4 linked regions of the Struthio camelus genome follow. The protein of the gene in region 1 interacts with the protein of each later gene in a biochemical or structural test. Links are inferred from orthologs where the notes say so. Each region holds a gene or a part of one and is shown in the gene's direction. Other genes may lie near its edges.

The links.
Region 2: the proteins of SNTB1 (region 1) and FRMPD4 interact in a test that uses a peptide from one of them, tested with the Homo sapiens proteins (2 studies listed by IntAct, with this or other methods). The link is inferred for Struthio camelus from reciprocal best matches to the Homo sapiens genes SNTB1 and FRMPD4.
Region 3: the proteins of SNTB1 (region 1) and MAPK12 interact in a test that uses a peptide from one of them, tested with the Homo sapiens proteins (2 studies listed by IntAct, with this or other methods). The link is inferred for Struthio camelus from reciprocal best matches to the Homo sapiens genes SNTB1 and MAPK12.
Region 4: the proteins of SNTB1 (region 1) and CYSLTR2 interact in a test that uses a peptide from one of them, tested with the Homo sapiens proteins (2 studies listed by IntAct, with this or other methods). The link is inferred for Struthio camelus from reciprocal best matches to the Homo sapiens genes SNTB1 and CYSLTR2.

What each region holds. Positions count from the first base shown.
Region 1 is NC_090943.1:159,111,251-159,119,049, reverse strand, and holds the start of SNTB1 (beta-1-syntrophin), read left to right. Parts: upstream 1-4,795; 5' UTR 4,796-4,880; coding exon 4,881-5,424; intron 5,425-7,799. UniProt on the Homo sapiens protein: Adapter protein that binds to and probably organizes the subcellular localization of a variety of membrane proteins. May link various receptors to the actin cytoskeleton and the dystrophin glycoprotein complex.
Region 2 is NC_090942.1:141,381,801-141,388,806, reverse strand, and holds the start of FRMPD4 (FERM and PDZ domain-containing protein 4), read left to right. Parts: upstream 1-4,002; 5' UTR 4,003-4,503; coding exon 4,504-4,544; intron 4,545-7,006. UniProt on the Homo sapiens protein: Positive regulator of dendritic spine morphogenesis and density. Required for the maintenance of excitatory synaptic transmission. Binds phosphatidylinositol 4,5-bisphosphate.
Region 3 is NC_090942.1:22,879,235-22,886,785, reverse strand, and holds the start of MAPK12 (mitogen-activated protein kinase 12), read left to right. Parts: upstream 1-4,541; 5' UTR 4,542-4,735; coding exon 4,736-4,851; exon of another isoform or gene 4,852-4,928; intron 4,929-4,942; exon of another isoform or gene 4,943-5,407; coding exon of another isoform or gene 5,408-5,525; intron 5,526-5,631; coding exon 5,632-5,761; intron 5,762-7,551. UniProt on the Homo sapiens protein: Serine/threonine kinase which acts as an essential component of the MAP kinase signal transduction pathway.
Region 4 is NC_090942.1:192,358,836-192,366,531, forward strand, and holds the start of CYSLTR2 (cysteinyl leukotriene receptor 2), read left to right. Parts: upstream 1-4,678; 5' UTR 4,679-4,785; intron 4,786-4,900; exon of another isoform or gene 4,901-5,085; 5' UTR 5,086-5,154; intron 5,155-7,696. UniProt on the Homo sapiens protein: Receptor for cysteinyl leukotrienes. The response is mediated via a G-protein that activates a phosphatidylinositol-calcium second messenger system.

The sequences.
Region 1 (7,799 bases):
AAACCCGAATACTCTCGGGCTCTTGCTTTTGTGTTCACTTGTGCCAAAGTTGGACGTGCAGAATAGAAATATGCTCATTTATAGCCTGGCCCATAACTTGCTAGCTGTGGGAACATTTTCTCAGTTTGCCTAGCTGACATGTGACTCAGGTAGGCACACATACAAATTTCATACGCATACTTCTTTCATGTACGCACAAGTAGGTTCCTGCTTTGAAAAACTGCATCCAGAAAGTGTTTGCTGGCAGGCAACTGTGCATTCATTTTACTTTTAAATGCCATGATGTGCGTAAAAACCTGGCTAGCTTCAAACTAGGCGAAGAAAAACAATGCTTTCACAGTTTTGAAAATAAGCCATAATGCAACCTCTAGATTATGAAGGTCTTCAGGCATTCCTGACATCTTCATAACCCCAGCAGAGACAATGAGTAACGACAGCCGCACGCTGACTTGAAAGCCAGCAGGCTCCCTCAAGGCTAAGGGGTGGATTGCTCAGAGCGGTTAAGAGGGTGCAAGCCCCCACTAGCAATGCCTCGGGCAAGCGATGACCCAGGTCAAGCGAGAGGTCCACCTCCTGGTGCAATGGAGACATCCGCATCATGGCTGGAGCCGGGACTGCTGCATCCCAGCACGCAGAGGAGTGGTTTCCCTGGGGGAGTGAGGAGGGATAGTTTTGGCATGTTCCTCAGCAGGACTTACTTAAACTTGGCTCCTGCAATGTTTGGGATCACTGGAGGAACTGGACTCCTTTCCAGCTCTCTCATTACTTGTCAGGCTTCCAGCACTGGGCTTCCAATGCCGTCCTTCCTTCCTGTCCAGAACCGTCTGCCGTACTGGTTGATGTCAGGGTAACAATATGGGAACGTCATTATCCAGGCCTGATTTTGTCTGAACTCTTGTCATTCCTCCTGTTTCCAGTTAAAAAGAATTTCAGATGAACTGCTTTTGAATAATTGTTGCTAGGCTGGCAACAAAAGAAGGAGGGACAGCAGCGCTATATGGGTTTGAGTTGTCTCTCAAAAGTCCTATATGTGGCCTTGCAGTGTTCTTGCTGTCAGAAAGTCAGTTTGTTTACATAAGACGTGCATACTGACCTCTTTGCCTGAAAACAGGAGAAAACAAGAAGAGCAGACAGTGGCCTGAATTTCTGTCTCCAATACGTCCCTCCAGTCAAAGCTGTGTCTGAAGAACTTCCTCAGTGTCACAGTCACAACCATTTCTGCATTGCTTTTCCTATATTTTCTATTCTCGCATGCTCACAAACTACTAAGCCCTTCCCCTTGCTTCTGCAAACAAAGAGTTCCTCAGGTACCATCACTTTGCTTGTGACCTGGATTTACTTTGGTGATCTTTGTCACTGGAGGTAGCTTCTGTGTTTTCCAACTGCCTCTCTTCTTCCACTTTGCTGATACTTCTTCCGCCTAGCCCATTGGCCTTAAATGAACACCCAGGTGTCCGTAGACCAAAGATCGATTCAGCAGCAGCTATTAGCATTATCTGGCTTAATAATTTGTTTATATTACATGAATGAAAGGGGCCGTGATCTAGTTCAGGCTTTTGTGTGCTCCTAAAATATAAATGGTAACAGATGATTGACTTGTTTGAAAGGGTACGCTTGTTGTGGTAGACGCTTTCAAAAGGGCAGGTCATCTAGAGCAACTTTTTCTAAGCTGTGCCTGCACTGGAAGCCTTTCTAGACACTCGAGGCTGGAGCAGGGAAGGTACTGAGCCCTCTGCTCATCCCACCTAACACCTCGGCTTCCTCGCAAATTGTCACGACTACCCTGAACACTCCTATTGCAGTGGGGTTATTATGGTTTATGTCACATACATCACCAGGAGGAGAAGTTTTGGCTGAGACTAAGAGTTTGCACCCTGTCGTGCCCTAAAAACCATTGGGGACCAGCACTGGACTTTGCAGTAGCAGTTTTCTCTGTTGCTAACCTGACTACTCAATAGCTATACACCTGTGTACAAATCTGTTTTTATCTTTTGCGCCTGCTCCTGTTATATTAACCTGCATTTCAGAAGCTGCTCTTCTAGATGTGATTTACAGACCTGAGGCAGGGTCAAGGACGGTAATGTTGGCTGGGATCGAGGGGAGAAGTCTCATCACGCCTTTTCTTCCTTCCCCATACTCAGCAGCCACAAGTTGCTATTGGGGTGCATGCAAATAGGAGCTAGCACCTCCCGGGACAGAGAAGCAAAGACTTGAGGTATCAATGACTGCAGCCTGTCTCCAGGCTGCGAGACAACCCAGGAGACTGTTTGCCTTGTGACTGTACCTTAGCATCCCTTCCACTATCTTCTTTTTACTTATATTTTTAAAACTACAATATTACCTCTATTTTCTTACAGTTCCAAGGTGGGGATGAAGGGGGAGGAGGAGGCAACGAAGATTGCTATAAAGACTCTTTCATATGAGGCACTAACACCTCAGGTGCTGGCACTGGGAAACGTTATTATTTATCTCTGCTGGAGTGGGAAAGGAAAATAGCTGGAACAAGCACAGTTCTCAGTGACATGCAGTGAATTGTCTATACAACACTGTTCCACGGGAACTCCACAGGAAAACCATTCACTCTGAGCAAACACGGGCCAGCTGCATCGTATACTGATGGAAAAGTGCGAAGCATTAAGAATTTCCTTTCCATTCTGCATTACTTTTTAATGACAGGACAGAAATCATTTTTTCTTGTAAATTTTCTGGAATGACTTTAAAAAATACATAGAGACACATCTCCATTAGCAGTAGCATTGATTCTTTAGTAATACATAGGAAAGAATATGAAATAATGGGTAAGAGCTAATCCCTTGAGAAACAGAAATGCCTGATTTTGTAACTTGGCCTGGTCACTTACAGCTGCAGAGCAATTTGAGTGCTGTGATAGTCCGCACTGCAACACCTAATTTTTGCACGCCTTTCCTTTTCTCCTCATCCTTGCTCTCAAGTAACTGAAGCTGCTGGAACCCAATAAGCACATTAATTCTCTAAGCCTGGCACCTTTTGGAATGGGATTTAAAAAAACCACCCAGGATGCTGCACAGGAGCTACCTAAATTAGCTAGCAGGAAATACTGGAGAACAGGGTGTGTTACACCCTATTCCTTTCTTAGGGCTTAGACATCTTATTCAGGTTTAGTGGGACACTCTGGATTCACAGCCCTGAATACTTAATTATAGCTTTTCTACCTTGCATTAATTAACGTGAGAAATTAAGAAACCTGTCTACGGTCTGCTTTCTCCACCCACCTGCTATCCTTGAATAACCCACGGCCTGTGGGTTAGCGCTCTCCTTCCACCCCGGTTTGCATTCCTGCCAGGGGAGGAGGCACCACAGGCTGCCGATGAAGGACAGGGGCCCCCTTCCACCGGCTTTTGCTGGGAAGGGAACGCATTTTTTGTGGTCCTACAGACCCTGCTAAATCGAGGCACGATCACGAGGGGAATAGCCAGTATGCAGATCCTTTGCTCAGCCCGTTAACCTGAGAGCAGCGTACCCAGAAGTGTACCCAGAGCCTACCCAGAAGCAAAACTGCAGCGTCAGAAGTGAACGGCACTGCTCTAGAGAGGAGCAAGATGCTGCACTTCAGGCCCCGCGTGCTCTGAGGAGCACGTTAAGGGGAATTAATATTAATGGGAGCTGTACCTCCCGCTCACTGTGCACCACACGCCCAAATCCCCCAAAGCGTTGCTCCCACACACACTGAACAGTCCAGAGCTGTTGCGCGGTTCAATCCAGCTCATGAACGAAGCGGGAGCCAGGCCACCGAAAGGGCAGTTCAGGAGCTATGCAGGGACCACAGAGTGGCACCGCCACAGAGCCAGCGACGCCAGGGCTGGTCCAGGTCCTCAGTGCGGCAGTGTTGTCCTCCTTTGCGCCCGAGTTGGAGCCCTGAGGCCTGCACCGGCACCTGAACTGCTTCCCAGGAGGATGGGAAACGCGGGTCTGCGAAGAGGGAAACACAGCCTTCTCAGGCCCTAAAACCTGGTCATGAAAGGGTGAAGAAAACAGCCTCAAAACGTACAAAAGCATCCCTGACAGTCATTCACTACCTTCATCCTACACCGTTCAACGAGTGCGGGAGTGATGCTTGGGGGGGGGGGCGGTTGGGGTAGGATGAACTGTGCAGCTCCCATTGACTTTGTCATTCACTACCTTCATCCTTGAGGGATACTGCCACAGCTTTCATTCTACTTTGATACAACTGAAATTTAGAGGATATTTGTGCCACCTATGTGTTTCAATCCACCTATTTTAAAGAGAGGCCTCTCTTTTTCTCCTTCACACAGGGGAAAACAAACTCACGTTTTAGCTAAACCTCTTCTGCCAATACCCGCAGATCCTCATTGATTTATTTTCCCTCACGGCTCCATGCCCTTAACTCAGAAGGCGAGCTGCTAACTGTCTCTCAGGAGGTCCCTCCAGCGGTGTATGATGGCAGGCTCCACCCGAGGAGAGCCACCCGTTATAGAAAAGAGTAAAGAACGGGGTAATCTGCGTTTTCCCTTCTTCCCGAGTCGGGAGACGGGGACCGTGAGTACTTCGGCGATTGCTTTTATCAGTGGGCCCGGCTGGGAAGCGGCAGCCCACCCGGTTGTTCGGACGTAGCCTTGGCCACCTCGGGCGGGCTGCTCCCACGCTGACACGCACCCGCGCGGCGGCGGCGGCGGCGGCGGGGGCGGGCGGTGCGGCCCGAGGGGGCGGCCGCTCCGCCCCGCTCCGCCCCGCTCCGCCCCGCTCCGCCCCGCTCCGCCCCGCTCGGCCGCCGCCGCCGCCGCCGCGGGGAGGGAGCGCGCCCGCCGCCCCGCGGGTGAAGTCCGGTGCGCCGGGGCCGCGCCGGGGCCGCCGTGGCTCGCCGTTTCCAGCATGCTCCAAAGATGGCGGTAGCGATAGCGGCGGCAGCGGGCGGCGGCGGCAGCGGCGGGCGGGGGCAGCGCAGCGGCTGGCTGGAAGTTTTGGTGCGGGAGCGTTGGCACAAAGTGCTGGCCAACTTGGGCGGCGAGGCGCTGGTGCTGAGCGGCGAGGAGCGCCCCGACGGCGCGGCGCACAACGGCCTGGGCGGCGATGGGGCGGCGGCGGCGGCGGCGGGGAGCCGCGGGGCCGAGGGCGGCGGCGGGGCGGTGCGCACCGCCTTCACCGACCCCCCCGAGCAGGTGCCCGAGGCCGTCTCCAACAAGAAGCGGTGCGTGAAGGTGCTGAAGCAGGAGCTGGGCGGGCTGGGCATCAGCATCAAGGGGGGCAAGGAGAACAAGATGCCCATCCTCATCAGCAAGATCTTCAAGGGGCTGGCGGCCGACCAGACCCAGGCCCTCTACGTGGGGGATGCCATCCTGGCCGTCAACGGCACCGACCTGCGTGATGCCACCCACGACGAGGCGGTGCAGGCGCTCAAGCGGGCCGGCAAGGAGGTGCTGCTGGAAGGTAGGGGCCGGGCAGCCTCGCCTGCCCCCCCTCCCCGGGGGGCAGCTGCTCAAGGGGTGGTGGAGCCGAGCGGGTCGGGGGTGGGGGGGGGGGCGGAGATGCCTCCCGGCGCAGGGCCGCTTCTTCTCCTTCGGGTGTCGTTCCCGCGGCGGGAGTTTATTTTCCCTGCCCTGCGCCCCCGAGCTGCGCGGGGATCCCCGACGACGCGTGTTCAGCGTTTAGCCCCTCGTTTAGAGGAGCTCCCTGCCCCGCCGGGCACCCGGGCGTTAGCCCTCGTCCTCCAGACGGCTGGCGACGTGCCCCGTCCGTGCGGGACGGCGGAGCCCCCAGGCCGCCCCGTCCGTGCGGGACGGCGGAGCCCCCGGGCTGACCCGTCCGTGCGGGACGGCGGAGCCCCCAGGCCGCCCCGTCCGTGCGGAGCCCCCGGGCTGACCCGTCCGTGCGGGATGGCAGAGCCCCCAGGCCGCCCCGTCTGTGCGGAGCCCCCGGGCCGCCCCGTCCGTGCGGGATGGCGGAGCCCCCAGGCTGCCCCGTCCGTGCAGAGCCCCCGGGCCGCCCCGTCCGTGCAGAGCCCCCGGGCTGCCCCGTCCGTGCGGGATGGCAGAGCCCCCAGGCTGCCACGTCCGTGCAGAGCCCCCGGGCCGCCCCGTCCGTGCGGGATGGCAGAGCCCCCAGGCCGCCCCGTCCGTGCAGAGCCCCCGGGCCGCCCCGTCCGTGCAGGACGGTGGAGCCCCCAGGCTGCCCTGTCTGTGCGGGGCTGCGGCTCCCCGCCGGGTCGGCTCCCGTGCTGAGGGCCCGCGGTGCGAGCGTGCCGCATCCCTGCAAAGCGGAGGGTTTCGTTTCACTCTCCTGCAGGGTGGCAGGGAGAGTTTTGTAAGAAGCAGCTTCAGGAAGCGAGCCCAGAGCACAGTTGTGGTACGCGTAGGAGGGAGGGTGTCCCCCAAGCACAGATGCCGGGGACCGGAGTGGTCACAACGAGCACAAGGTTCCCCAGGACACCGAGTTCATGGAGAGAGACGCGTTCACATGCTTTTAATCGTTGTCTTTTCACAAGGATTAATTTAGTTGCTAGACCTCCGAGAATGTACAGCTTCAAAAATGCCCTTGGCGCGTGTTTGAGAAAGCGATTACATCTTTGCCCAAAGTTCATTGCCCCAGAAGTGGCTGGCACTGGGACACGCTGCTGTGCCTTGCCCTGTGCCAGCTGCCTTCCCTCTGGGCCGCAGGCCCTGCTGGCTGATCATTCCCGCAGCCCTTTGGGTACCACATGGTTTTGTCTCTTGGGGCACCGAGGATCTTTTGCTCTTATCCTGAGGAGCAAAGGGAAGCGTCACTGCAGGTAATGGAAACACACTTGAGGATTAGCTGTGAACAACCAGCTCCAGCATGAAGTTAGGCACAAAGCTCAAGAACAGGTTCTGTGCACTAAAGCAAGGGCAACAGAGACAGTTTTGCTTGGGTCTACAGCCGTGTTTATTGAGAAACTATTTGATGTTGTCCACATTACTGTGAAAACTGCAAAGGAGGTGTTACCCCAGAGGGTTTTCACGTGCTGTGGACCATTGCCTCCTTGTTCTCTTGGGTATAACCCAGCTGCGTTTCTTCTTCAGCAAAACCACTTACGGAGATACCTGCAACGTCTCAATGTAAAGTTCTCTCTAAGCTCTGAATTGGGACTATTTCATCTACATTTTTTCCTTGATTTGTTTACACAACATAAGGACTTCCTAGGGTGCAGGCCAGACAGAAGCTGACCTTTGCTGTGATCTAGTGAGTAATGTATATACTGCTTACAAAACTCTCTCCTGTGAAGCGCATGCAGTAACACCACCTGAACACACTGCTGCTGTACAAGTCTTTTAAAAGGCTCGGTTTTGTTCCCTGTAGGAGCGAAGATCAGGTAGTTTCAGCACGGGCTCTTAGCACCCTCCTTATCTCCGCTGCTTTTACCATGCAGCTGTTTTCTTGGATTTCTTTGCTCTGTGGAGGTGTAGGCTGATGTGCTTCAGTGATTGTTTCTGCAGTACAGTTGTCGGAATTGTTAATTTGTAGATCCAGAGCAATTTCAGTAGTCATCCTTCTGTGTAGTTAAAATATTCTGACACTGTACTGTCTATTTTTCCTGGCTTTCTCCTGCTATTTTAGCAGTGTAACCAAAATCAGAATTGTCCAAGGTGTTGCCCCAGGAGATGCTATTCAGTTCAGCAGGGAATCTCTCTACATGAATGGCTTGTGTAAACAGGCGGTTTAAAACAATTGTCTGAGATTCAATTTCCCACTTTGAAGCTCTTTCTTCAGTAATGGTGTAAAATGGTCTTTTTATTACAAAAGGAAGGAAAAGCAAAAGTTTTTTTTTTCCTTTAAAATATAGGAGG
Region 2 (7,006 bases), on another chromosome or scaffold:
TCATTAACCAATGGCTTTTTTTATCACACTCCTTTAAACATTTATGCCATTTGGATATGAATAATATCATCAAGCACTATGAAAAAAATCATGGAACCTTCAGTTGTTATCTCAGGAAATAAATTATCATTATAACCTGATGAGTTAAAAGCCATCCTAAAGGTGAAATACAGTGCTTTTAAGTATCTCTTTGAGATTCCAAATCACTAAAAAAAAAAAAGACTAGTCTTAAAAAAATTGTAGAGGTAGATTTTTAACTGAGAGGAAAATTTTTGAGACCTCCAAAAGTATTAAAATGAATAAGTGGACTTCAGTCATTTCCAGAGGTTTCATTTTATGTCTTTGGTGTGAGATTTTACCTGACGTCCTTTAAATTATCTAGGATCAAATCGTACTGAAGCAAATGTAGTAAAATGAACATTACTGGTGAAGCTGCAGGGCTAAAAAAGTTTGTGCAGTATGGTAGCCAGGAGAGTCCAACTCATATTTTTCTTTGAGCATTCAGTACCTCCGAATGAAGAAAGAAAAATCCCAAAAATACAGCAACACACAAACAAACGGCTTTTGATCTCATTCATAAAGATATTTACATCCCATCTTCACAGCATTTTCCCTAGGACCCAAGGAATTTAGATGTCTGAAAAAATTAATAGTTTTTAGAGTGATTTAATTAGTTTTATGTTATTAATAGTATGCCAAAACATTCCTACATACATTACGTCTGTCACTTTCTTTAGAACAAAGAGCATTATAAAATAAGGCAGACTCCCTTTTCTATAAATGAAACTATAGGTGAAACTGCCATACTACATGAAATTATGGCTTTTACTGGCCCATGATCTACAGTAGGATATCTATGATTACAGAAAACATTAGTATTAAGTGTCCTAATTGAATTACTTCAGCCAAAAGTAATAAAAAGGTCATAGTATACCATAACAAAGCATCCTCAAAAATAGAGACTTAGAATTCTACTCTAAAAAAAAAAACATTCAGTCAGGAATTGATGTCAAATTCCTGGTTTAAGATTAGGAACTTCATGTTCAATTATTGTTTGTTACTGAGATACTAAATACACGTTGTTCTGCTGTCTTGAGCTGTCTGTTCTCATTCAGAGTTTACATGTACCTTTGTCACCCACAAATGGGTTTTATCTGACCTAAATTTAGGCATCTAGAAGACAGGCCTCTAGTCAAAGGTAGGAACCTAGGGCCTCCTCTCCACTGGAGTTGACAGAGAAAATAGAGCATCTCCAAAGGGCAATTCATGTCACTTTTTTTAGAATGAGATGTGTTGGAGTGATAGGTGCCTGTCCGCCACAGAGACAGGGAATGACTAACTGAGGCTGGAACCCCGATTTTTGGTAGTTAGTGAGAAGAATCCCACACCAGTGACAAAAAAAGTACATATGTTTGCAAGAGTTCAGTCATGGCATTGTCTAGTTGACATATCCTGCAAAGGAAGGCATAATACCAAAATATGATCATTTACAGATGATAGCTCCAAAACCAGTTCAAACTACATGTATTAATTGATGTTTACTCATGAAACAGACAGAACAACGTCCTCCACCTTGCTTCTCCGGGTTGGCAGGTTCTATCATTTTCCTACAGCTGAGATAGCTTTATACATGGTTGCTGTGACACCAGAGCCCAAAGAACCATGAACTGAAGTGTTGTGATTGATATTCCAATCTCCACCCCCACGCGTGTTTCCCACCTAGCACAGATCCAGAAAGCTTCCAGTATTTAGCACAGTTGGAACAAGTATACTTGTTTGGGTTCTCTGCTCATGTCTGCACATCTGGGAATAAGACTCCTGTGATTTTGCTACTAATGGATCTCCAGGGTATCGGCTGTCCCAACAGTATCTCCACAGCCATTCTGGACAATTTGTACGGTTGCAACGATTTCCACTCAGGAAAACAAAAATATCAAAGTAATTATAATCATAGCAATAGTTCATCTATCTCTTTGGAATGCCAAGGCAAGAGAGAAAAATAATTTCAGTTCAGCTTCGAATTGTAATGACTTTCTGTTAAGCCCAGTCATTTTGGGTACTGCATCCTCTGTTTATCACACTGATACATTTATAAACAGCAGTCTTTTCATCCCTAGTCTTTGTTTTGCTAGGCTAAGCTCTTTCAGCCTCTTCTCGTAAGGCACACTTCGCTACCTTTAACATTTTTAGTATTTTCCTGCACCTGCTTTCATTTTTCTCAAACACACTTCCTGAATGAGCTGAGTACAGCATTTCTGGTCAGATCTTATGCTGTCCGCTTTTCTGTCTCTACTGGAAATACCTCAGTCGATGCATCCTAGGATCATATTTGCCGTTTCACCAGAAGACCTTGAAAGTATAGAAATGCTACAGAACCCTTAAAACATCTTCACTTCTCTGGCTCTCACTCCTACGCTTTGAGGCACCATTGTGTGTTAGGCCTTGGAATGTAAAGTACTTAAGATAGGGGACCTTGTTTATACAGAGCATATGTGCCTAATTTTATATATGGTATATCATTTCATCAGCATCAGTTTGCTTTGTAGGATCTTGGCCTATCTCCTTAGTCTATAAATAAATAATGACAGTTTTATAAATAACGCAGTTTCTAACCAGCTGAAACTGTGTTATTTTTGTAACTTTTGTCAATCAATAGAGCAATGTGAATGACAGGCAAAGGTTCTGCCGTTTTAAAAAATCTGGTATAACAATAAATAAATATAGTTGCACGTAAGACCCACATAAATATTTTGATGTACTAGCATAAAGTACTTCATACAGTATTTCAGAATATGCACAAAGCATTTACATCTATGGTAGGTCTGCAAGTGTTTTTAGCTGGCTGTTTAATGTTCTCCAAGTGTAAATAGATAATCAATCATTCTTTGTTATTGTTTTAAAGAATAGTTTGAAACTTGATGCACAGTGAGTGTTCGTACTGCCTGTTCTTTTTGTTCCCTTATCAATAAAAGCTTTAATATTAAAAAAATTGCATTGTTTTCTTCTAGCTGCTAGAGTCTACATATTGGCCTCTATTGTCATTTCTGAAATTTTTGGTTGCTGAGACAGTTTAGGTGCAAGCCTCCAAAGGAGACAGAAACTGTGGGAAGTAAAGAGCGTATGAATCTGTTTAGCAAATGAAGACACATATAAACACACTTTATTGTGAAGAGGAGAATATGCATTCCCATGCTGAGAATTATTGTACCGTAGTGTAGAGCTTCGAAGCACATCTATATGTGAAAACGAATTTGAATTTCTCCAAGCTCCTGTCCTGCTCACTCACAGGAAGCTTACGGACAGCAGTTAAACTCCAGTCCCTATTTTGAAGCTTTATGCAGGGCAAAAGCACAAGAAAACATTGTCTCCTTGTGTTCTTGTGAACGTCAGGACGTCAGCTACACCATTTTCCCACAGAACATGGGATGAGGAACGCTTAGCTATGTTGTCATGACTCAGCCTTGCAGCGCTCCTGTCACAACTAGGAGGACTCCTTTCCTCAAAATCTCTTACATGGCATGGATAAAGAAGCCACGGGATGGTGACAACCTCCTCTGGCGACAGCAGGGCAGTGAATTTGCCACCGTGTTGCCGGTCAGTGGTCCATGGTTGAGGAACATCTCAAGGAGGCCACCAGGGCTTCCCTCTGCCCCAGGGGGAAGTATGGCAGGACAGCGAGGCACGATCGCTGGGGAGAGATCCTCAGTGGTGGAAGAGGGCTGTCCGGTTCCCCCAACTTTTGCTTTCGGGATCTGGGCAGCAGGCTTCTAGCAAAGGACCAGGGTGCTTCTCCCCGGCTGGGGAGGGGCCTTCTCCCCCTCGCCGGGCCTGCCTGCCTGCCCGCCCGCCCCAACAGAGAGGAGCCTCCAGCCCGGCCTAGCTCCCCTCGGCGGCCGGCCAGGCCCCTCGGCCCGCTGCCGGCGGCCGCAGCGCCGCCTCGGGCGGGAGCCAACGGGCGGCGGGAGCCAACGGGCAGCCGCCGCCTGCGCGCTGCGCTCCCCCACAGGAGGGGGAGACATTGCCGGCGAGAGGAGAAACTCCCCCTCTCCACCTTGCTGATTGCCCCCCCTCCTCCCTCTCCCCCGCACCCCGCCGCTCTTCTCCGCCTTCCTCCAGCGGGGATACGGCAAAGAGGCAGCGGGCGGCGGAGCGCGGCCGCCTCCCTCTCAGCCTGCCGGTGCGCGGAGCGGCGGGCGCCCGGGCTGGCGGCCACACCGCCCTCCTCATGCCTTCGGTTACCCCGGGGAGGGGGCAGGGGAGGCAGCGCGAGAAGCGGGGGAGGGCTGCGCGCAGATGAATGCTGCTCCTGCGAGATGCTGCACGCCCAGCTCCCAGCCGGAGGCGGGTAGCAGCCTCCGCCGCCGGCTCCTGCCTTTGCAAGGGCTGTTGCTGCCACTGGACGCAACCTTCTCCCCGATATGGAGCTGCTGCTGCTGCTGCTGCCGCCACCGCTGCTGCTGGAGTGAGTGAGTGAGTGACGGGCAGAGCTGGCCGGCTGCATGGATGGATGTATTTAGCTTTGTGAAGATTGGGAAGCTCTCCGGGTAGGTGCTCGGCGCTGCCCGTGCCCGTGCCCGGCGGGGGCGGGAGGTTGCGGGGGGCTGCCGACCCCGGGGCGCTCAACTTCCCTGGCGCCGGGGCGGAGGTCTCGGGGTCGGGCTGCGGGTTTTCAGCGCTTGCCGCCCCGGCACCTGCGGAGGGTCACGCCGGTGGCTCTGTGTCGTTGGGTTGTTCCCCTCTGCCCCCATCTTAAAAGACAATAAACGTGGTCCCGCGGCTGGTGCTTCTTGCCGCGGCGCAGCTGGGGTTACCGGGAGCGCTGGCCGTGGTGAAACGGTCAGAGCAGAACTGTTTGGGAAACGCAGAAGCGGCGGCGAGAGCCGGGACCGGGCTGGGGCGGGTTGGGGAAGCAGGCGCTGCCTCCCTGAGGCCGCCGGCGGGTGAGGTGCGGGGGGCGGCGGTTAGCGGCGGTTAACGGTCGCCGAGGGCGCGCGCTGCCGGGGGTGGGGGCGGCGGCCAACTTGTGAGGGCGCGGGGCACCGCCTCGCGGCGGCGGCGGCTCCCTGCCCCGCGCCTCGGCCCTCCCGCCCCCCGACTCCGCGCCCGGCGATATTTTTAGAGAAGTGGTGAAATCATCGTCAGCTCTTTAAGCGCTGCCCCTCTGCCTCTTCGCATGATAGGTGCTGGGGAGCAAGCGGGTTTGGCGTCTGCCATCCCTCGCTGGCTAGGCATGCACTTTTTTGTTGCTGGAACGGGTGTGAGGCGTGGACTTTTTGTTGCTGAAATGGGTGTTTAATGAGGATGTCTTTCCCTTTTCGAATAAGTCTTCCTTTTAATAGCCTCCGAGTGCTGGTCTCTGTCTGCAGACTGTTGCGTTCGCAGCTAGTTGCCAGGCCTAAGGCTACGTAGATGGACAAAGAAGCGCAGTAGCCTCTATTAAAAATGTTTTCAGTGTAGGTAAACACAATTGGAGGTAACACGTCTCAATAACGTGGGAAATCACACTTTATCTCAAAGATACTGTATAAAAGTGCTCGAGTTGCAAGATTTTTCTTTTTTTCTTTTTCTGTGTGTGTGGATAATCCTCCTAAAGGATTTAGCTTTGATCACAGTAACTAGGAGTGTTCTGAATTCTTACGATTCAGTGCTTAGGACACCATAGTTACCATATCCATTTCTGTTTATGAAGCATAGACTGAAATTGGATGTTGTACAAAAAGGAGAAAGGCCTTGTTAAAGAAATACAAAAGGCAGCTTGCTTCAGTGACGTTCAGATAGGGAACTTGTCAAAATGACAGATGGTCTTTAAAAACAAATATTGCATGGCTGGAAGTTGTAGAATGCCACAGGTGCAAGCCTAGCCTTTATCCCCCAAATTTCCCACCATTGCACCTGGCTGTGATTACAGCTCCACTTGTGGCAATGCCTGCGCAGAACAGCTGCTGTCATTCAAGTACATCATTGTCTCATCCTGCTCAGAGCAATTTTACATGATGTGACGGCTAAAACACTAGTGGCCTGCTCAGCTTTCTTTGATTCGTGTTTCCAGCTGATGCCACTAGAGCTGCAACAGCAGTAACTACAGTGGAAACTTCGAGGAGAGGGAAAATATGCTAGCATAGATAAGGAGCAGGTCATGTAGTATGATTTTTTTTTTCCAGATATATTGAATTGCTGGGCTGCTTCTATTTATTTAAGAGCAGAGTTTTAAAGCCCCCCATCCCCTCAAACCTTCATGTTTCATATTTGTCACGCCTGAGTTAAAATCAAAGGGAGAGAAAGGGATGTGCTGTATGGAAATATTATTAAGTCAGGAACATGGGAGTTTTTAGATCTATTTTAAGATTCAATCTTAAATATTTTTTTGGTATGTACACTATCTGTTGACTTTCCACAGCCTCAAAGATGCAGATGTTACCATTCCTGAGATTTGTATTTAGATAAAGGCAAATCATAGTATTTCACTGGAAAACCTGAAAATTCTTTCTGCAATTAAATCACAAGTTTCAAGGCTTGTATCAAGCTTCATTTGATTCAAGGATATGAAGTTTGTGTATTCAGGGACTGAGTTCATCTTCTAGACTGCAGTAAATCATTTCTGTACCGAGCTACTCTTTTTGTTTCTGAATTTCTGGTTGTTAAATGACCATAATAGTTTACATGGGACTTTACTTTGCTGTTTCCTAGGTAACAGCTAGGTATCTGTTCCAATTTTATGAGCACTTCGTGGAGCAGCCACGTTCCAGTATAAACCCCATTTTTAATCCCTCTATAAGTCTGGGTTGAAAAACTAGTTTGCCTGGAAATGCTGATTCTTCCCTTGCTGTTAGAAGGAAGATTTTTTTTTTTAAAGAAAGATAGGATAAATGGATCTTGACTGAGAGTGTGATCTTTCAGGCAGATTACATGCATAAAGTTGTTGAGCGCTTGGCTGCTACTGAATATTTTTAAGCCTTTCAGTCATTTTTTTTTTTTAATTTGCTGTGAGTTCGGAGCTTCTCATTTT
Region 3 (7,551 bases), on another chromosome or scaffold:
AGAGGTCACAGAAAGAGACAAACACAGAATAGTTGCAAAATAGTTGGCAACAGCTCCACAGAGGAAGGGCGTGGACACAAAAGAGTATTTTCAAAAGAAAACTAAGGTTTTTATGTAAGCTTTACTTCTCCTTGTAGTAAGTAAAATGGATTTACTTCCTTCATGGCAACGTGTATAAGTAGACAAGAACAGACTACGAACATACTTTTTGAAGGTGGAGATAGAAAGCTGTTTCAAGAAATAATATTCTAGCCGTTGACAATCCAGCAAGATTTTATGTTTACTGGCATTATATACAAATTTAAAGTACATGTTACAGAACTAAAGTATTCGTATGTGAATTAGTAAATCAAGAATCAAATTAGCTTGTTCCAGTCACGTGAAAAATACCTCATAGAGACAGATGCAGACAGTAAGGTGGGAAGATGCTTGATTTTTCCAAGGGGCCTTGTATTATCATCTTTTTTCCACTCATGAAATTCATGTTGCCAGTGTCTGGAGTGGAAGATCAAGGTCACTAGCTGGTCTCCCAGTTCCAAAGGATGCACCCCCTTCACTTAGGGTCTGGCCATCAGCCCATGGTTTATCTCCTGACAAACTAACCTGGGCCATTTTAACTCTGTTGATAAATAGTTCATTCTGGGTTGAATTACCATCAAACTCTCTCACCAGAGTGTAAAACTACTTTTCCTAGGCAGAAATCCTCAGGAAAACGTAGCTAGCTTATTCGCTGTTCTCTTACAGTTCTTCCTCCAGCACAAACGACTCATGTCCCAACTGGAGTGTAAATTGAGTTCTCAGTCCTTGGAGGGACTAGAAGGGGTACTGTACACATCCTATCTGCCCCATATACTTTGCAGCTGATAGCAACCTTCCAACATATTGAAAGGTGGCACTTTAAAAAACAAAACAAAACAAATGTTTCTTCATGTTAACAACCTTGCCAACCTTCCCTTTACAGGATAGGCATTAAGAAAGTGTGATCTTCCCATCATTAATTATCTTCCAGACATGCTGCCTTAAAGAGTTCTTATTCTCTTACTCTCTTTTGTTCTGCAGACTTTAGAATAAATATAGGTCGAAAACAGAAACATCGGGTAGCGCTCCTTTTTAAATCCCTGTCAAGCACACTTTGCCTGGGCTAAGGTATGACTGTAGTATCATACTAGTCTCATTGTAGCAGACTGTCTTTGGGAAAATGCTATGTCATATAGCCACCCAGGAACAGTAGGATACTGAGGCTCTGGCATTTTGTGACTCCAGTATAAGATCTGGCAGCTGTGGATGTCTCTAAGTATCTCCTCTCACTCCTTTCACAGACACTTGCAAGGTTTTTTTCTTAGATAAAGTCTCCCATCATATGACAGTGCTAATTTCCTATTTTTTTTCGTAAGTTTATCAGTTCTTCTATGTGGACTGCTTTGTGTGACCTGATGAGGAAGGGTGATCTTGTATTTGACCAATGCTGTTACCCCGTCCCACCTACAGCAAAGTATACGTAATATCTTACCTGAAGGAAAAACATGGGAAAACCAGCACTGGCCAATTTTGTCTTTGAATTTAAAATATCTTAAGAAAGTTGCTCTATCTTCTCTACCTTCTTGCTCTGTCTTCTGATCTTCTGCACAAGTGAGATGTTAGCTTGGTGCTGGCTTAGTACTTTCATCCTACAGTATAAAAATCATCCTCTTCCTCCCCTGAAAAGGAACAAGTTAATAACAAAGCATCATTTTGCCAGAACTAGACTGAGGAAAAAGGGGCTAGGGATCAATAGCAGAATTGATCCTCATTGTATTAGAAACACATATATTTAACATTAAAAATAACAGACCGGCTCAAAACTGAGTGGAAGACAACACTGCTCTAGCCTTCTTACCCATACTGCATTTCACTCTAGCCATCATGTGAATGGCAAACACTGCATAAAAGCGGAATCAGAAATTAAAAAAAAAGTCTTCTGAGACTATGTTTTTAAAAACAAATCTGTATCATTAATCTAACACTTGACACAAGGTTTGTATTACCTGCCAAATGTCAGAAGATTGGTTTCCAGTCTCACTAAGACAAGGAGTCAAACAGGTCATCTATCTGCAGATAGCAGCACTGGAAAACACCTATACTATGGAAGGATGTTAGACTGTGCCAGCCTGGCCTCTAGTAAATTTGCAGCCCTGCTCTGCAGACAATTTTAGAAAGCATGTTTTCCTGCTGTATCTGACATGTAAATAACAACAGGAGGAGGGCAGGGCTGCTTTTCCAAATCTGATATTTACATACAAAAAGGTCTGGACCCACGGCAACTACCAAAAAGGCAACAGGAGCAACGAAACTTGGCCAGATTGCCCCTTTCTAGCTAAGCCACAAACTGAACTCCCGTGACAGCCAGTCTGAGTTATCTAACAGCAGCAACATTGCTCAGGGGTGAAGTCAGACGAAACAAAGGCTTTACCAGACCCCAAAGAACAAGTATTTTAATTATATTCATACAGAGAAAATGTAAAATATCTTTTAAAGTAGTTCCTTGCATGTAGTTACGCATGCTGGACCAGGCCTATTGACCGTAGAAATATTGTGAAGGTTGCTATTCTCCATAAACCAGCACTGCAGTTGTTCTAAGCTGCTCCTTGAACAGTTTCATACCACACCAGACACGCATAGGACCACTTGCTCTGAGCAACCAAGTCAAGCGTGTACTTGTTTCTATTTAAATATATTAAATTCTATTGAAGCTTTGGGTTGATCCTGAGATAAGGATAAACTGTAAGTCCACAGCTGTACACCTCTGTGCAAAGGTAATTTGGAAGTTCTCCCTCATACGCCCTGCTCTCATCAAACCAAATGACAGCCCCTCAGGGCTGCGGTGAGGGGAATCAAGGGTGTAAGGGGGGGAGAAAGCCATCAGTCACTTGCCCCTCCCTTCTGCTACTGTCAAATGCTTATGCACGCAGCGAGTTTTAGCGAGAAGTGGCCGTGTATATATAGCCTTCCGTCTAGACATGAAAGATTGCCCCGTCTTCCCTGCTTCTTTTTTCAGTGCTGCTGCTACACGTGCCCTTTGTCTTTGCAGCTTCTACCACCTACGACAACCATCATATATTTCTCTGCTCCACTGACCCATTCTCTTCCATTTTACCGGCAAAATAGCATTAATTGCAGTAAAATCATTCTGTGGCCTCTAGGAATATAGCTGAATGCAGTTTTTTGCCTTTGTCTGTAGTTCTCATTTCTTCCTCTTTCCATTTGTAGTATTTACTTTTTATTAGGTAATAGTTTCATGTAAAAGTCAGTTACATTCGGCACATAACCCCTAATGCAAAACAAGCCCGGATGGGAGTGCAAAACCATAAGGTGTATATTCACAAAGAGAAGGCTGGGATATATTTGCTTCCAGCTTCACAGCAAAGACTCTTAGTTTACTCCTCATTTACACCAGTAAATCAATACGTAACACAGCACAAGTTTCCCAAGCCTCTGCTGGGAAGCGGTGGCCTCCTCACCACACTCACCATCCATTTTCTGCGGCCAGCACCTACTCCTCACTCCCGGTTCCCAGTTCCACCTGCCTTCGCCAAGCCACTACCCTGCTGCAGAAGTAACACAGCCACAGATTTGATGGAGAAAACACTAGAATTGAGAAGAGACCTTGAGCTTTGCAACTACAGAACAATAACATATATATTGCTCCATCAAATCCACAAACACAAGGCAGTAGGCAACTGCGCCAAGAGAAGCAGATGGATCTTAAGCACGTCTTTAGACAAGCAAGAGCCTCAGCACCTGTTTCTATGCACATACACACCCTGCTGCAACCGGGCTGCTTTTGGGCACGCACACTGGATCCGGCTGAACGGTTCGCTCGCTTTCCCAGCCTTAGCGACACCTTAGCATCCCTGCGTCCTGCTGCACCTTTGGGGCAGTTATGTTACCCCTGGTCTCTGAGTGAAGGGTCGCAGATGCTCAGCTGCCTGCTCAGGAACGGCGGAGCAGGGACAGGTAGAGGCACCTGCCGCTAGCCACACCGCTGCGGGACAGGGAGGAAAAAACAAATGTGAGAGGGAAACGGGGCTGAGCTATTGAAAGAGCTGCAAGCAAGGAAGGCACAAAGGCAAGCTACGACGGAGATGGCGTGAGAGAAAAAAAACAGTAAGGAATTGTGCTTTAGCCTCCTTCCCTATTTGTTTAGCACCTGCTCAGGCGAACGACCCGTTTACCCTGCGCACACGTTGGGCTGTCCGGGGGTGGACCGCACTCTCCTCGTCCAGGAGCGCTTGGGGCACAGCAGGGCCGCTGCCGGGCCGGGCCGGGCCGGACCCCGCCGCAGGGCGACGGCCGGGCTGGGCGCTGCTCCGCTCGGCGGGCACCAGGCCTGCGCCGCCCCTTCCCCGCAGAGCCTCCCGGCGTGGCAAACGCCTCGCCCCAGCCTGGTTTTTAGAGGCGCGGGGCTGGCAAGCGGCGGGCGCGCTGTTCGCCAGGCGGGGCCCTGGCCGGAGGTCGGTCACGGCGGGGGTGGGGGACGTGGCCGGCCCCCGCCGGGCCTCCCCGCCGCCGAGGGTGCGCGGGAAGAGGGGCAGGGGGAGGGGGCAGGCAGCCGCCGGCGCCGCTCGCCCAGAGCGGCGCTGGCTGAGGGAGCCCGTCCAAGCCCAGCCCCTCGCCTCAGCCCGGCGCGGCGGCGCTCGCCTCGCCCTCTGCCTCCAGGGCTCTTTGTGGGAAGGTGCCGGCAGGGGGCTGCAGCACCATGTCCTCCCCCAAGAAAGGCTTTTACCGGCAGGAGATCACCAAAACCCTCTGGGAAGTACGGGACCGCTACCGCGACCTGCAGCCTGTGGGATCCGGTGCCTACGGAGCCGTCTGGTGAGCGGGGCAGAGCAGCAGCCGGCGGCGGGGGGCCACGCGCCCCCTCTGCCCAGGCCCCTTCCCCCGCCCCCGGCGCGGCTGGTCCTGCCCCGAGGCGGGAGGGGGCTGCGCCGCCGGTGGGGAGCCGCGATGGCGTCGCCGTGGGGCTCCTGGCGGCTCGGCCGCCGCGCAGCCGGGGGTCGCGCCGGCCGCTTGCGCTTTGTTCCCCGACAACTTTTTTTTCCCGGGTGTTTTACCGCAGCCGGCCTGGCGGCGCCCGGTGCGGGCTTTTGGCGGGGGAGGTGTGGATATTTTTGTTGTGGTGGTGGTGGTTTTTAACGTGCCTGCCCGCCCTACACGTGTTTTCCTCGCTGGAAGGGGCAGGGGCCGGGGCGCGGCCCCAGGGCTCCCCCCGGCAGCAGCCACCGCCGCCAGGCGCCGGCTGCCCCCCGGGTTTGTCCCCTCGGCGAGGGGCTACCCGCTTCTGGGTTTTGTTTGTTTGTTTTTCCGCCTGTCTTTAAAGCTTTTGAAAAGCGGCAACTTTTCATCGCGGGGTCTGGCAGCGTTTAAACTAATGAGACCCTGGAGGCTGTGCTGGCCAGGGGCTTTCGGGGAGGTGGCGTCCCCCTTTTCCCTCGACGCGGTAAATGGCGGCGCAGGGAGGCCAAGCGACCGGCAGGTAGAAAGTCGAGGTCTGGGCGAGGCGGCGCCAAACATAGGCACCTGCTTATCGGCAGTGGGGTTTGCCACAGCCCCTTCGGCCCTCGCCCGCGAAACGCTCTTCCTGTTCCCTTAAAGCTCAGCTGTTGACGGAAGGAATGGTACCAAAGTGGCCATCAAGAAACTGTACCGCCCGTTTCAGTCTGAACTCTTCGCCAAACGAGCCTACCGAGAGCTGCGCCTCCTGAAACACATGAAGCACGAAAATGTGAGTTCAGTCATTAGCAGATCCCCTCAAGGTTGCTGCGGCTTGCAGGCACCAAAAAGAAGTGTGATCTGCTGCTGTCCCCTGATCTGCTGTCCCCTGCCTCCATAATACACCAGCCCTGGCAAGGCAGCTGAGTACCTGCATAGGATTCAGGAGTCTTTCAGCAAGACCTGTGTGTCTGTCTTTTGTCCGTCTGCCTTTTAACCTGCAAATACCAGTTCAAGCAAACTGGAGCGTCCTGTGGGACGCAGTTTCATTGCAGTCCATGTGCGTGAGGTTGGGTGGAGAAGGTTAGGACCGCGGTGGGATTTGTGCTCAAAGCTAGAGGGAGAGAGATTAAGAGACCCGAAATCTGAATCTCGATCACCACACGCATGAGATGTAGGAGAGTGGGAGAGTGTGGATCTGTACTGCTAGCATCTCTTTGCTTGAAGTTGGATGTGGCATGCACGCCTGTCTCTCGAGGAAGAGGTCTGGTCTTGCCTTTCATGAAGCGTTTGAAAGTTTCAGGTTTGTACTAATGGGAAATGGGAAGAGTTTACGAATGAGTAAAAAAAATTGCTTTAGAGGCATAATGTGTCTTCCTGGATGCTGAGATAAGGAGGAGAGATCTGTGTGAAAACAGTTTTGTGGGATGAAAGCATGAATGGAAACCAGGTCAGAAAGATCCCGGGGTGGGACTGGAAGATCACAGTTAGTGGCTTTAAATGCTATTTCTGAAGAGTACATGTGAAGAAAGAGTTTCAGGTGACTTTTAAAAAGATAGATACAAGAATCTATTTTAAAATGCTAATGATGTGGGAGATTATAGTTTTCCATGGAGGCTATTTGAGCAGAGCTAAGAGCTGGAAGGTGAGAATGAGAGAAGCCAGTAGTAATAGCAATAGCCAGTCGTTGCCATTGCACGTTGCAGTGTTAGCATTCTGAGTACCAGCAACAACTAGGTTCATTTCGAGGAATAATCTCTACGATATCCCGGCTGTCTGGAGAAAACAGACCTTACTGTAGGCTTATGAACCCGTGTGCCTGTTTACCTTTTAGTCTGACTCTTTTAACATATTTGATCGTTTTACTTGAGGAATCCTTAGAAATAACTGCTTTTTACCATTGTTGTATATATGTTAAAGAGTTAATGTTTAACTTGTGTGTCATACAGAGTCTTTCATACTCTCAGCATTTACTGTACTCAACATTTGGGAGCAGATCAGCTCATGCAGTTGCCAAACTCCTAACTGTCTTCCGAATTTTGAGATTATTTTTCTTCCATTTCTCAGAATAATTTGTTCTTCAGGTGGCTAGCGTTTTCCAGTACTGGCTCTTTTTGTGCTGCATATGCCCTTCAGGATAATACTCTGGAACCCTTCCATAGACTTGTTTGGCAATCAAAAGAGTCTAGAAGAAAACACACACTGAGGAATATGAGTGCAATCTGTACAAGTTACAGATGAATACGTAGGAAGGAAGGGAAGAACTTAGAGTCTTAGAAAACATTTTGGACCACAGAAATAAAAATTCGGTCTAGGTACTGAGGAAAAGTTTCATCATGACTTTACTCGTTAGAGAGCAACGAGTGAGTAAATGGTCATGCAAGGAATTCATAGGCATTGTGGAGACAGAAACCAACTGCTCCACCCGTCCAAGATGAGGCTGAAATGGCAGTACAACCCTTCTAGAGAATTTCCATCCTCCATTCCAGTCTCATACCATTCTACCAGGCATTTTGACCACTGTGAATGGGGAATAGCAGCAAAGCCCTTTAGGATTTCTAGCCCCTTGCTGATCCCGTGCTA
Region 4 (7,696 bases), on another chromosome or scaffold:
TCCAGCTGTTGGGTTACGGCTATTATAGAAGAGTCAGCAAAAAGGGAAGAGAGGAAGCTTGCTTTGCTTCTGGTTTCTAGATGTGTATAAAGAGAGAGACCAGCAGAATAGCACGGGACATGCAGAACATTTAAAGTGGGGTAAACACAGATCAAAAGACGGGTTTGGGGGTAGGTAACTTACAGTAAAATGCCATACACATGCCAACATGTATGTGTGATAAGTCTACAGGTGGTCATATCTTAAGAGAGGGGTAACTAAATCACTGCCAAATCCTTCACATTCTGCACTTGCATACTCCCATCAATGTGCGACTCTGTCATGTCTAACACATAAAATGGAAAACAGAAATAACAGAGGTTGCAATTGCAGTTTGTGCAATTAGTTGAAATGCATAACACAAGCAAAAGGTCCCTGTGACACCCACATGGTGCTGGATAGAGAGATGGATAGAGAAGTAGAGAGGTTTCGAAAGACAGGCTATGCAGAGAAGACAGAATATTAGTAAATATTCCTGGCACACTGACAACCTTGCATGTGTTAAAACTGAAATGCTTTTGGCTAGTTCCTAAAAAAAAAAAACACCACTGTTCTTTTTTTTCCAGTCACAGTTTCTGGGGCTGTTTTCTTTAGGTTTTAATCCAAAAAAAGGCTCTATTCTTTCCAATAACTTCAATGGGCTTTAGATGAAGGCCTTAGAAAGTGTTTGGCTTTCTGTCCTGCTCGAGTTCACTCTTTTCACAGTTGAGGACTGGATCGATTAAACTCTAGGAAGTGCATTAATGCTGCCAGCTGCCATTGGCTCCACGGCTTTTGAAGACAATCAATTTTTCCCAAGGCACACACCACCTTTAGAGGGGCAGTGAAAGAACTTCTCCAGTTTTAGTACTTTATACTTTTAAAAAGGCAGTTTATTTTACATGTAGACAATACTAGATGTCTTTTTCCATTCCAGATATATGCTAACATTCTTCTGCCTTCATTAGTATATTAATGAGGAACAGCAAACTGTTAAGAAAAGACTACAAGCAATTAAAAAAGATGTCATTATTGATGTTGCAAAAGGAACAGCTTGAAAACCTTCTGTGCTTTTCCTTTCGAATAATGCCTGTTAAGATTACCCCTCCTTCTTTACCCCCTTCCTCGTGCAGTAGTCACCTTGATCTTCCCAGCTATCCAGCCTTATGGCTGACAGCAAATGAGCTACTAACATTTGATGCTATTTTTTTTTCTCGACTGCACAGAAAATGAATGTAAGCTTTGTAATTTTAGTCTCTGGAAATAGATATGTGTTACTAGGCTAAGCTGCTGTGTTGAAGACGTGAGGCATTAAAATCTTCAGTGAAGGTAATCCTTTCTGTTTGTTTGATATATCCCTTTCTGCCAAAAAATCTATTGGCATGTGAAGGTGAAACTCCGACACTAGACGTTCACGCCTGCAGACAGCAAAACATTGCCTGAGCAACTGGAAAAATATATGGACTCCTTCTTCTGCACTGTGTGAGTCACTGGATGCCTCACAGGAGATCCCTTGGTGCTGGGGATTGCCAGGTCTCCCGTGCACGGCCCCGAGGTTTGCTCCGGGCGGCAGCGGGGCTGCCCGACTGAACGAGCTGGCGTGCGACTGCCTGCTACGCCCTGCGAGCAGCGCGATGTGCTTTTACAGGTCTGTTTGGATGGGCCTGTGCGTCAGACACCCAGCCTTGCCCAGGCGGGTTTCAGATCCCCGTGGCCAAAAAAGGCAGCTCCCTGCTTCCTGTGTTGCAGTGTGAAGCGGAGGACAGCCTGCCCCGCGTGACTGCAACCACGGATGGATGCACCAGGCAACGTGCTTGTCCTCAAACAGCAGCTGCCTTCACTTTAGGGGGCAAAACCTGGCGTTTCTCTCTAGCCAGTGAGAAGAGTGAATTGGCAAATCATCCCATGGGCCCCAGGCACTGCTTTGGCAATGAGATACCTGCTCTGCTGCTGCCCAGAGCAGCAACAGCAGCTCTATGGGGGCCAGAAAGTCACTGCACGGAGACGTTTGAAACAGCCTTATGGCAGGAGGAAGCCCAGCAGCAGGTCTGATAGGATGTGGCCTGCAGAGGTGCCTGGGAGGGGAAAACCACTTTGGGGTAAAAAATGCCTAAACTGCCCCTTTGGAGAATTAATTCCCCAATCACCTCAACTTCAGTACAGCTACAGGGGGAGGCCTGGCCCTACAGGGCACGTAGCAGCGTGATGTGCAGCACCACGATGCCTCAAAGTTTGGGATGTCCATGCTGCCGAGCTAGGTGCCCCCCACAGTGAGCGCAGGAGATGGGCTCCTCCGCTGGCGCTCCCATCGGGGAGCGCTCAGGCCACAAGGATGCTTGAACTTGCTGATAGAAATAATTCAGATTTGTGCCTTTTCTTGGCCTGGAATGCTTCGCTCAGGTCCAAAGTTCAGCTGCTTCACGCGACGGGGATTCAAAGCCTGCAACGGTGGCTTTGCTTGCGGGCTGGCGGGAGCTGAGCCCTCGTCCTTGGGCAGCGCCCCGGCACTGTGCCGGGGCAGAGGTGGGCAAGCAAAGGAGGGCAAAGGAAAGGATGAGTCACCCCCTCTTGCTTTTCTCTCTTGCAGCTGGGCTGCCATGGAGCCAGAAGTGCAAAAGGGAACAGAAACAGAGGCAGGAGTGAGCACAACTGCAGCTTAGCCTAGTGGTTTGCACTCTCAGCTCCACTGCTTCTGCTTCTTGGACCATCTCTGCATTTAATGGGACTTAAAATGCAGAGAAAATCTAGGCTGGTAACTGTTGAATGTGTTTTGTGCACAGTGTCTTGCGATGAGAATCCTTTATTCTTCATGATATTGAGATGGCTTCTGCAGAATTACTGAAGTTTGTATGAACAAAAAACGTGCTAAACTCCTCTCGGAAGCTGAGTCATTCAACGACAGTTTCTAAAAAATCCCAGACAGTCACTCCAGCTCCAGCTTATCAGGTGCAGGGTGAGTTGGCATCTGACCCCATTTATTGAAACAATCTGGAAAGGAAATACAGCATTACTTTGGTAAGGAGAAGAAATAGTACTCTCCAGAAAGCAGGCCTTTTAAGAAGGTGGATGTAACAAATTATCCGGGCAAGCGTGTCACGTGATGAAAGAGGCATTCTCAAAACGCATTCAGGAAAACAAAATGTGATCAATGCCTAACTCTTCCACATGTTTTGGTGTCTGTGAACAACCTGCTTATCAGTCCCAGTGCAATTATCGCAGCGTGCCATGTGATGCAGATGTCATCAGGCTGCTATTGCAATGCCAACATTAGTCATCACAGCATCTCTGCCTGTTGCAGATAAAAGGCAGTCTGAATTACTGGGGCATCTTCCAAATGGCTCCAGCGGGCACAGTTCTCCTCTGGCCGGGGCCGTGCTGCACGTCACAGCTTCTTCCTAAAGGTCTCTGCCCCAAAATCTGCCTGCCAAGCAGCTTGTGGGGTCATTTCCTATCCTGCTGCAGTTCAAATGAGCTACGTTAGCGAAGACCCCCTATTTCAGGTATCTAAGGTACCCTGCTTCACTGACCAAAGCGTGGCCGGGGACATGCACTTGTGCGGCTCTGCCAGCAACGCTTGACAGATGGGGAGACAGCTGTGAGAGTAACCATACCAGCCAGCATCACCACAACTGGGAAGGGACACAAACCTACGGCCTTACATGCCGCATGAGTTTGCAATGTCTGTGCTAGGCACCCGTGGAGCGGTCTCAAGAGGACCCCTAATTCACTGTCACTCTGCACCTCGCAAATTCATTTAAAAGGGATTGCTAGCATTTTAAACGGACTTTGCACTGTCAAGGCAAACGTGGGCAAATGTTCACAGCTTGCTCCAGAGACTGAAGGTCCTCGCCTCACCCTTAGCTAAGCTGGAGCAGTCCTGCACATGATTCCCTATGTCCTTTTTCAGCTTCATGAAGTAAAAAATGCTGAGCTGTGTTTGCAAGCCCCCCTCTATGCAGAGATTTGTGAAGTCTGGTGACACAGGTCTTTGCAGACACTGCACATCACCCACTCAGCCCCCCTGCCATGTGGAGCACGCCCAGAGGGCAATTTTTACCTGGTCTAAAGGTCCTTTATACAGCTAGAGAGAAGGGATCTTGCTATAAATGAGAATCAGACACAGGTGGCAATGTAGGGTAGGCTGCAAGCGGGATTACCAGGAGAGCTTGGGAGCATAGACGACTACAAATGTAGGTGCTCAGAAGGTTTTAGGAGGAGACTCTCCATTCACCGAGCAATGGTAACGACCCTGCGTGGATGCCTAGCCTGCGGCAGCTAGGAAATAAAACATAGCAGCCGAGAGACACTTGAATACATCTGATCTGCCGGTGTGCGCTGACACCACAGAGGAGGAATAACCAACCTGTTACACCTACAGCGCGCACAGATACCTACTGCTCAATTGCAGTGGGCTAGGAGCACCCATTTAACGCCGATCCACTGATGAGTGGTAAAATGTTAAGGGGCGGTAAGGCATTTGCTGCAGACACGTGTCCATGACCTAACAGTACTGTGTATTCAGGTCCTATGAAAATTCAAGGAAAACTAGTCCTTCGGTTCTGTAAATTCACCCTGGAAGTGTGGGCTGAGTCACATTACCCATCAGCTCCTGGCTGCCTGCTTATGATGATGTTTTTGATGTGCTTTCTGCAGTAAAAAGCCTGACTAATAACCGCTGGCATGTGTCGTCTTAATAATTCCAAGAACTACGTCCCTAATGATCCGTGTTAAGCTTTATAGCATGATTTCCAAAAACATCCATCAACTGTGAGTATCGGAAGCAAATAAACAGAAGTGAGAGCCCAAATATAGAAATCCAAAAGGCGTCCAAGATCACTGCTTAGCTGCAGGGCCTCTTTCATTGGATGAAAAGTATAAAACATTGCCATGTGATTACTAGTACCACTCCTTGAGCTGAAAACATTTCTCACTTAAGAAAATATAAGATCTGTTAATAAGGATTTACTTCCCCTTCCTACTGCTCATCACCCCTCTGTGGCTTCTGCATAAATAGCACTCGTGTTTTTTTGATTCAAGTTTCTGTGTTTTTCCTTTGCACTAACAAAGCTGCAAGTTGTGAACAACAAAAAGCAGAAGAAGGAAATACCGAAGACACCAGAAGGCAGAAAAGCTGAGGTAGGACAAGATTTGTCTGCTTTTTCTTTTTCTGATGTAGATAAAAAATGGTTGTAATAATTAAAATGCAACTTACTTGCGTTTCTTGTTACTTGCTGTAAGCTTTGTTTTTGCTAGCAACTATAATCACTGACTAACGTTCTTTATGCTAAAGCCAGGCTTGAAAATTTTATTTGGAAGAAAAAAGTGTGACTTGATGTAAGTAGGAGTTTTACCAGACAGAAGATAGCAATCAAGTGGTGGATCTGAGTGAGTCCTGTTTTTTTAGCTAGACCAATATGACAAACTTTGTTCATGGCAAACTTTTAAAACAAAAAAGTGTTAAAGGTCAAGATCTCGATTTTTTTTTTATTATCATCCATGTAGAAAAGTTAATAAAACGCCATACGTTTCAGTGAATTGAATTTAGTGTTAATTTCAGACATCACATTTTGTTATATTTATTTTTGGTAATGCTGCTCCTGAAACATAAAATGTGTGCTAGAAAGAAAGCAAATGGGAACTTTAAAAAAAATTAGAGCTTCTCTTTTTTTCTCATAGTGCGGCAACAAATGCAAGTAATCTGACATGAATGCTCCCATGTAGCAAAGATATCATAACAACCTTCCTCTTCAGATAACAAACACGGGACTCTGGTGTCTGAAGTATTCCTCAGACAAAGGCATATTGTGATAGACGTGCAGAGCATCTCTTTTTCTTGCTACCCAGAAGTTTATCTTTATCTTTATCACTAAAGATATTGTCTTATCTGTATCTTATCTGTATAAAGATATTATCGTTATCTGTATCTTTATCACTAAACACAGAACCATATTTTGCATGAATAGATTTCTCTATTTGACTTTGCATATGTGCAACACCGTATTTAAATTAGGTTCTTCGGTAGTTCCTCGCTTCCTGGTGAGCGCGACGTTTCAGAAGGGCAGATATCAGAACCTTCACTTGAAAGTTTCCAGCAGTCTGGACATGAAGAATTTCATCCTCACACCTTTAGCAGCAGCACCCCTCCAACAAACCTCCCCAAAGGGAGGGATTCCTCCTGTTCCAGCCTGGCGCAGAAATCTTTCCCGCTGTCGGCTGAGTTACGGGCTGACTTGGCTGTTCTTGATTTAGCCCTCTACCAGAACTGGGAAAGCCCAGGGCTACTGACTGTTACGGTTTTCCCAGTAATAATTTTTTGACCTACAGAGTCATACAGGGTTTTTAGGATCACTGTTGGTACTGGTTTCACTTCACAAGCAGAAAGTAGGAGCAACACAGAGAAATCAATTGAGTTGATTTGTTGAGTTGAGTTGACCAACTTTTGTTGAGTTGATCAACTGAGTTGGTGGTGTTGCATAAATTGGGAGCAGAGTACAACTGTAAGAAATGAGCTGGTGGCTCAGACCAACCACCGTCTAGCCCAATATTCCGTCTCTGATGGTGGTGACAGGCAATGCTGTTTAGAGAGACCATGAGAGCTGGATCACCTTCTGCAGTGCATTGCCATTGTATTCCCCCAGCACCCCTAACTGTTGTTTAGGGGTGCTAGAGGGTATATCCCTGCCTAGTCCTTTATTTCCCATTTATTGTCCTTGAATTTGTCCAACCCTGTTTTGGACCAGCTGATACCAGCTGTACTCACTGGTTGAAAACAGGCTCCCATCAAGTCTGTTGAGTGTCCCTAGTGCTGCAGGACCCATGAGCAACAGTTTGCATTCACACCATCTGACACTTCGACACGTCTGTAAGCCGTGATCGCATTCTTCTTCAGCCTTGTCCTGCCACACTGAAGGGTCCCAGCCTCTTAGCCCCTGCTCTGTCTCTTGATCATTTCACTCACCTCTCTTTGACCCTCCTCTAACTCCGTTATGTCCCTCTTGGGTGCAGAGACTAGAACTTCACACGGTGTTCACGGCAGGGATGCATGGAGGTTTTATACAAAGATGCACCCTGCTTTTTTCTGCATAGCCTTCTTGATGATGCCCCTCATTTTGTTGGCTTTTTCGGATGTTGCTCCAGTCAAGGCAGAAATGACTTCAGTAGCCTGTCAACAATGACTCCATCACCAATGCCAAACACATGCTCTTTCCTGAATGAAACAGCTAGTTTCAAGTTCTGTATCACATAGGCATGGTTTAGATTATTTTTCCGAAGCTGCATCACCTTACATGAAACTACACTAAAGATCATCTGCCACCTTTTCAGCATAGTGTTGAAAAGCTCAGGGTCATCTGCCAGCCTGGAGATTTCTCTGCACACACCCTTCTCCAGGTCATTGACAAAGATACTGAACAAACCTGGACCAAGCACAAAGCCCTAGAGACCACGCTGCTGATTCATTAAGCCCTACACTTTTTCTTCCTACGCTTTAACCAGCTTTCAGTCCATAAAAGAAACTGTCTTCTAGATCTCTGGCAACTTAGTTCATTAGAAAACTTTTGGTGCAGAACTTTATCAAAGGCTTTTAGAAAATTCAACTATATAAATACATATATATAGATATATACATATATGTATTTATATATATATTTGTATGCATATATATATACACACATATATG